Linked DNA regions of Lepisosteus oculatus. The protein of the gene in region 2 purifies or fractionates together with the protein of the main gene of each other region. This does not show direct contact. Links are inferred from orthologs where the notes say so. Each region holds a gene or a part of one and is shown on either strand. Other genes may lie near its edges. The genes, in order: arhgef1 and gna13b.

Region 1 (3,919 bases), on a different chromosome or scaffold from region 2:
GACTACAGCCTGCACTACACCCCCCAGACTACAGCCTGCACTACACCCCCCAGACTACAGCCTGCACTACACCCCCAGACTACAGCCTGCACTACACCCCCCAGACTACAGCCTGCACTACACCCCCAGACTACAGCCTGCACTACACCTCCCCCAGACTACAGCCTGCACTACACCCCCAGACTACAGCCTGCACTACACCCCCCAGACTACAGCCTGCACTACACCCCCAGACTACAGCCTGCACTACACCCCCCAGACTACAGCCTGCACTACACCCCCCCAGACTACAGCCTGCACTACACCCCCCAGACTACAGCCTGCACTACACCCCCCAGACTACAGCCTGCACTACACCCCCCAGACTACAGCCTGCACTACACCCCCCCAGACTACAGCCTGCACTACACCCCCCCAGACTACAGCCTGCACTACACCCCCCAGACTACAGCCTGCACTACACACCCCCCAGACTACAGCCTGCACTACACCCCCCAGACTACAGCCTGCACTACACCCCCCCCAGACTACAGCCTGCACTACACCCCCCCAGACTACAGCCTGCACTACACCCCCCCAGACTACAGCCTGCACTACACCCCCCAGACTACAGCCTGCACTACACCCCCCAGACTACAGCCTGCACTACACCCCCCCAGACTACAGCCTGCACTACACCCCCCCAGGTGACGCCGTCTGTGTCAGACACTGTGACGCTGTGTGCAGGTGACGCCGTCTGTGTCAGACACCAAGAGCGACCAACACAGCACACTGACCGCCACACCGATAGTAATTAACACACCAGTACATTATAGTGTATTAAAGTATTATTCAGTAAACTACAGTACAGCGTATTAAATAACCATTCAGTACACTAAAGTATAGTATTGTGTATTAAAGTATTATTCGGTTCACTACATTATGGTGTATTACAGCACTATTCAGTAGACTAAAGTGTATTAAAGTACTATTTGGCACACTACAGTATACTGTGCTCAAGTACTACAGTATAGTGTATTTAGTTATTATTCAGTATATCACAGTATAGCATAGTGTATGAATGTACTATTCAGTACGCTATGGTGTGTCAAAACACTATGCAGTACTGTATGCTATAGTGTGTTAAAGTACTATACAGTGCACTACAGTATAGTGTATTAAAGTACTTTTAAGTGTTTGCTATAGTGCGTTAAAGTACTATTCAGGACACTACAGTAGAGCATGTTAAAGTACTATTCAGGACACTACAGCATAACATGTGAAAGTATTATTAAACACACTACAGTATAGTATACTAAAGTATTGTTTAGTGGACTATAGTATATTGTATTAAACTATTATTCAGTACACTACAGTACAGTGCATTAAAGTACTATACAAAACACCACAGTGTAGTATACTAAAGTATTATTCAGGACGTGTAAATAGGGCGAGATAAAGTACTTTTCAGCATACTACAGTATATTTTATTAAATTATTATTCAGTGCACTGCAGTACAGTGGATTAAAGTACTATTAAGTCCAGGACAGTAAAGTGCGTTAAAGTGCTACTCAGCACACGACAGTATAACTCGGTCCGGAGGTGTCAGGTACAGCGCTCGGTCGGTAATAGTGTATTTGGATTAGTATTATTAGTATTGCCGGTGGCCTCTCGGCACTGCGGCAGCGCGGAAGACACCCGGCCGCGTCGGAGCCGCCGTCAGGCGAGGTCGAAACAGATTCGAACCGGAAAGAGCGGCGGCTGTGTCGGCGCGGCTCCGCACAAACTTCCCACTTCAGGACAGCGGCGAGTTTCCCACCAGCCCCCGACCCCGGACCAGCCCGCCGCCGGATCTGTCCGAATGAGACGTTTCTGCGCGTCTTACCTTCGACGGCGGCGGAGTCTGCAGCCCGGGGGTAAAACGAAACAAAATTGCCGATTATTTCCTGTCTGCGAGCGTCGACCCGTCACCCGCGCAGCACATACTGTGCCCAGAACAAGACTGCAAAAACCTCACGCCCCAGACGCTCGAGTGTTTTTTCTTTCGCGAGTGGGGAAAGTCTGGAAAGCTGTGAGTACACGTCCAGCAACCCCCCCGAGCTCAGCCCCGCGAACTATGTCAAATACCGCTGGTCTGTTTTTTTAGAGGGGGCGGGGGATGGGGATTCTCGCTTACAATCTCTTCCTGTTAGACTTCGGTTAAATCTCTCTCTCTCAGGCGAAAAGTACTTGATGCCCCCCCCTCTCTCGCTCACTCAGTTCCGCAATGTGTCACATTATTTTCGCTCCCCTAGAAATCTCTCTCAGTGCAGTGTTCATGTACTGGAGTGTCCAGTCAGTGTGTCTGTATGAACCCCTCTCTCTCTCAGTGCAGTGTTAATGTACTGGAGTGTCCAGTCAGTGTGTCTGTATTAACCCCTCTCTCTCTCAGTGCAGTGTTAATGTACTGGAGTGTCCAGTCAGTGTGTCTGTATGAACCCCTCTCTCTCTCAGTGCAGTGTTAATGTACTGGAGTGTCCAGTCAGTGTGTCTGTATTAACCCCTCTCTCTCTCAGTGCAGTGTTAATGTACTGGAGTGTCCAGTCAGTGTGTCTGTATTAACCCCTCTCTCTCAGTGCAGTGTTAATGTACTGGAGTGTCCAGTCAGTGTGTCTGTATTAACCCCTCTCTCTCTCAGTGCAGTGTTAATGTACTGGAGTGTCCAGTCAGTGTGTCTGTATTAACCCCTCTCTCTCTCAGTGCAGTGTTAATGTACTGGAGTGTCCAGTCAGTGTGTCTGTATTAACCCCTCTCTCTCAGTGCAGTGTTAATGTACTGGAGTGTCCAGTCAGTGTGTCTGTATTAACCCCTCTCTCTCTCAGTGCAGTGTTAATGTACTGGAGTGTCCAGTCAGTGTGTCTGTATGAACCCCTCTCTCTCTCAGTGCAGTGTTAATGTACTGGAGTGTCCAGTCAGTGTGTCTGTATTAACCCCTCTCTCTCAGTGCAGTGTTAATGTACTGGAGTGTCCAGTCAGTGTGTCTGTATTAACCCCTCTCTCTCTCAGTGCAGTGTTGATGTACTGGAGTGTCCAGTCAGTGTGTCTGTATTAACCCCTCTCTCTCTCAGTGCAGTGTTGATGTACTGGAGTGTCCAGTCAGTGTGTCTGTATTAACCCCTCTCTCTCAGTGCAGTGTTAATGTACTGGAGTGTCCAGTCAGTGTGTCTGTATTAACCCCTCTCTCTCTCAGTGCAGTGTTAATGTACTGGAGTGTCCAGTCAGTGTGTCTGTATTAACCCCTCTCTCTCTCAGTGCAGTGTTAATGTACTGGAGTGTCCAGTCAGTGTGTCTGTATTAACCCCTCTCTCTCTCAGTGCAGTGTTAATGTCCTGGAGTGTCCAGTCAGTGTGTCTGTATTAACCCCTCTCTCTCTCAGTGCAGTGTTAATGTACTGGAGTGTCCAGTCAGTGTGTCTGTATGAACCCCTCTCTCTCTCAGTGCAGTGTTAATGTACTGGAGTGTCCAGTCAGTGTGTCTGTATTAACCCCTCTCTCTCTCAGTGCAGTGTTAATGTACTGGAGTGTCCAGTCAGTGTGTCTGTATTAACCTCTCTCTCTCTCAGTGCAGTGTTAATGTACTGGAGTGTCCAGTCAGTGTGTGTGTATTAACCTCTCTCTCTCTCTCAGTGCAGTGTTAATGTACTGGAGTGTCCAGTCAGTGTGTCTGTATTAACCCCTCTCTCTCTCAGTGCAGTGTTAATGTACTGGAGTGTCCAGTCAGTGTGTCTGTATGAACCCCTCTCTCTCAGTGCAGTGTTAATGTACTGGAGTGTCCAGTCAGTGTGTCTGTATTAACCCCTCTCTCTCTCAGTGCAGTGTTAATGTACTGGAGTGTCCAGTCAGTGTGTCTGTATGAACCCCTCTCTCTCTCAGTGCAGTGTTAATGTACTGGAGTGTCCAG
Region 2 (3,919 bases):
TAGGGATAAATTCCAAAGCAACATCTTGCATTACTTATCCCTCCATCCATCTTCTAGCCACTTCATCTAATGAGTTCCAGTGGAACCAGACCCTATCCCAGCGAGCAATGGGCTCAAGGCAGGGTACACTCTGGATGGGACGCCAGGTCATCGCAGGCCACACACACTCACACCAGTGCCAATGTGCCCCAGAAGCCAAATAACCTACCAAGGTGTCTTTGGACTGCGAGAGCAACTCACGCAAACACAGGAAGAACATACGAACCCCAGGCAGATAACACCCCGGGTCAGGAACTGATCCCAGAGCTCTAGCGCCGAGAGGTAGCACAACACCACTGTGCTGCTTTTGCAAGGCTTGTACCATTCAAAATTAATTATACACAGTTACATGAGTCATAACACATGATCTCGTCATTCAAGGGCTATGAATTACTTTACACTTTCACACGCCGATTTATTGTGCTAGGGGAAAAAAAAACTCTGCTCTGCTCCAAAATTAATAAGAAAAGAGTATCAAAAGAAGCACGCAGCAAAGCTATAGCCTGACCTATCCAATAATGCAATGTGTGACACATGGAAAGGTCATGCAGCATGCTGCACAAAGAGGGGGGAAGGATCTTAGCAAAGTCAGAGCTCTAACAGGGAAAACTCCACCTCCAATACGAAAAATACACCTAGATATTCACCTTCCCTTTGCGGTCTTGTGACCACAAAAGCTCTAAAGATAGAAGAGCTTGGAAAACCTTGCCCATCGCTAAATGTAGCAGTAAAGGGAAAACAAAATCATTCAAACAGACGGTCTGAACGGATGCTGTAGGTTGTCTATTTGAACAAAGCCAAGCCAGTCCCTTTAGAATTCTTACTGCCCAACAAAGCCTTTTAAACCAGTACTTCATGCACGGCTGCTTCTTATTTCCCCCTAAACCACTCATTTTTACTGCACCCTCACTGAAGCACAACTCTCTTTGAATTCACGTTAAAGAGTTTCTGGTTCCGTCACAACGACACTGTTTCCCCCCAAGTATACAGTACAATCATTATCTGTAAAACAGGTCTCTCCCTGACAGAAATGTTGCTTATAAACATCGGAACAAGCGACTCACTTGATGTCACTGAGGAAAAAAGACTCATCTGTGCGTCTGGACTGGCCTCGGCCTTCTCCCCCCACACCGGATATGGCCACTTGCTTCCCTTCAGAAATGTGTTTCTATTTCTTTAACACTGCTCATGCGACCTCTGAAACCGGGACAACACCCTACAGCTATCACCTTAAATCAAACAGAAGAGTCTGTAGATGCGAATCGCCCCGCCGCCGTCTAGTTACACATCCAGTAATTATTAACGTTCGCTGCAGACAAAACCTGTTTGAACACCAGTAAAGGAAAAATTCAAGGCAACTGAGAAGACGAGATAACCCCGGGAACGGGCCGGACGACAGGAGAAAACTCCTGAATTCCGTCTCAAATACTTCTACAACAAACAAAAAAAAAAAAAGAAGGGGCAACCCGCTTTTTTAACCTTCCCTTGGCAGGACATTTTTTTTCTTTCCAAGTAAAACACTCAAATCACTCGTCAGAAAACTTAAAACGGCACCGCCAAGCCCAGGTTTCACCAGGGGGAAAAAAAAAGACTCTCGGCTTCACTGCAAACAACTGAAACCGTGCCCTCGCTTCTCACAAAAAAAAAATGAGCCAACGAAACATAGTAACTGTTTTCAAAGAGTCATCCCCAACTTGGGCGTTTCACCTCTACCCAGATTGCGTTACATCGCGGTGTGAAATGCAGATATCTGGCTTTTCTTCGCTGCAACGCGTGGATACCGTGCAGAGCTTTTCTGATTGTGCACCGTTTACAATAGCCAGGCTTCTCCGGCAACTTTTGAGTGGCTAACCTCCCCAAAAAAAGTACCCACCAAGGGGGAAAAAAACAACAACTCCTCGTGCCAGATTTCTTGAAGGGGGGAAAAGAAAGAGAAGCGTGATTACACACGAAAGACGAAAACGTGAATTAGCGCCCGATTAACCCCCCTTCCTTGTCTAATACAACCAAATAACATGGGCGTTTCTTCTCTCTACGGTCGAGGGGATGTCTCCCTAAGAACACAACTTTACTTCTGACCCGCTCCTCAAGTGCGCAACTCGGCCGTTTAAGAAACGTTCCCTCCCCCCTCCGAAAACCCCGAAAACGAACCCCAGTCGGGCCGGACGACTTTCTTTTCCGAACTTACCTTTAATTACATTGCTGTAGATCGTAGCCCGGAACTCTTCCTTGGCCCTCTGATCGAAGTCCTGGCCGTGGATGATACGCATTTGCTTGAGGAAAGTGGACTTGCCGCTCTCTCCTGCTCCGAGCAGCAGGATCTTCACCAGCCGCTTCACGTACGTTTTATCCCGGGAAATACATTTGTCGATCTCCTTGGAAATTCTCAGCTGCTCTGCCTCGCTGCTGTTAAGAAGGCAGTTAGGAAAACAAACTGATAAAACGGACCGAGACGGCAGGAAATCCGCCATCTTTGAAGCAACTTCATCGATACAGCAGGGAGGGAAAGGGCGCGCCCCCGAGAGTCTCAGCTCCGAGGCGGGCGGGGCGCAGTCGCATTGTAAGGGCGCGCACGAATGCGCGGCGTAACTTCTACTGTGGTTTTAATAGGGGGTGGGGTTTGGAAAGAGACGTAGAAGCGTGGCCTTTACTTGGTTGGATGTGGAAATCCGTCATTAAGGGCTCATTTTTGATAAAAATAAAATCAGATTGAAACTCGTTGCTGTTGCAGATGCGACTCCTTGTAGACTATTACATCCAGACGCGCAGGTCGACAGAGCTTCTATAAAGCGTTGGTCTTAACGGGCTACTGCTGCACCAGGGTCTTTCTTTTGTTTTGGGGATCCCCTGCCTGAGGAAAGAGAAGACCCCCGCTGGGAATTGTCGGGATCCTCCGCCCCTGATTGAAACCGAAAACCTCAGTGTCCCAAATTAAACATTATTTAATAGTTTTAGAAAATGTCACTTGCATTTAAACCCACAGTTAAGCAAGGACAGCTCAGCTCTTTTGTAGGTGTTTATCCTGCGAAATTCTAGTCGCGTAATTACTCATTTCCATTTTCATCAGGGACAACGATAATCCTTTGTTTATTGTTTCAATAAGCGTTTGTTTCTACAATATGAATTGTTCAAAGTCAAACACTACAGTTCAGTTAAGATCAGTCTCGGACTTAATAGTATGCAAAATAATCAGAAACAGAAATTGTTGTTTGTTAGATTGATGTATATAATAATATATGTATTATTAATAGGTAAAGTTTTGTTTTCTCACATTCATTCATTAGCTGCTTCATCCAATTCTGGCTTGCGGGGGAACTTATCAGAGCAAGCAATGGACGCAAGGCAAGGTGCACCCTGGACAGGGCTCCACCCCATCGCAGGCCAGCACACGCATACACTCACACCAAAGACACTTTTCCCAGAAGCCAGCCTGCCAGCACATCTTCGATCTGTGGGAGGAAACCCGAGCACCGGGAGGAAATCCACATGAACATGGGGAGAACGTACAGACTCCACCCAGATAGCACTGTAGGGCTGGAATTGTACCCAGGGCCCCAGCACTAGAAGGCAGCAATGCGGATCACTGCACTACTGTGCACTGTGTCAATTCTGTTTTCTCCTGTCCCATATTTCCAAGGTACAAGCCTTACCCAAAGGAGGGTTCAAGGATGGCATAACCCAGGGTGGTGTCCTCATATCTGAGAAAGTTGGTGGGGATCTCCGTTGTGGAGCACACACGGATGGAGAAAAACACAGGCGCACAAGGAACAGCCTTTGTTGTTTGACTGCACAACAGAGGAGCAGTCAGCGAAAGATAATATCCACCACTTTGCTATGATCAAGAAAGATCATTGTACGTGGGTGAGCCTCCTAGGCATAT

Evidence for each region.
Region 1: the proteins of gna13b (region 2) and arhgef1 purify together in Homo sapiens (affinity purification with western blotting; 5 studies listed by BioGRID and IntAct, with this or other methods). This does not show direct contact. The link is inferred for Lepisosteus oculatus from reciprocal best matches to the Homo sapiens genes GNA13 and ARHGEF1.

The regions. Positions count from the first base shown.
Region 1 is NC_090722.1:10,274,637-10,278,555, forward strand, and holds the start of arhgef1 (rho guanine nucleotide exchange factor 1), read right to left. Parts: upstream 2,197-3,919; 5' UTR 1,866-2,196; exon of another isoform or gene 1,529-1,865; intron 691-1,528; coding exon of another isoform or gene 1-690. Other genes in the region: uncharacterized protein DKFZp434B061-like, read left to right, coding at 1-690. UniProt on the Homo sapiens protein: Seems to play a role in the regulation of RhoA GTPase by guanine nucleotide-binding alpha-12 (GNA12) and alpha-13 (GNA13) subunits. Acts as a GTPase-activating protein (GAP) for GNA12 and GNA13, and as guanine nucleotide exchange factor (GEF) for RhoA GTPase.
Region 2 is NC_090704.1:39,942,104-39,946,022, forward strand, and holds the start of gna13b (guanine nucleotide-binding protein subunit alpha-13b), read right to left. Parts: upstream 2,622-3,919; 5' UTR 2,511-2,621; coding exon 2,228-2,510; intron 1-2,227. UniProt on the Homo sapiens protein: Guanine nucleotide-binding proteins (G proteins) are involved as modulators or transducers in various transmembrane signaling systems.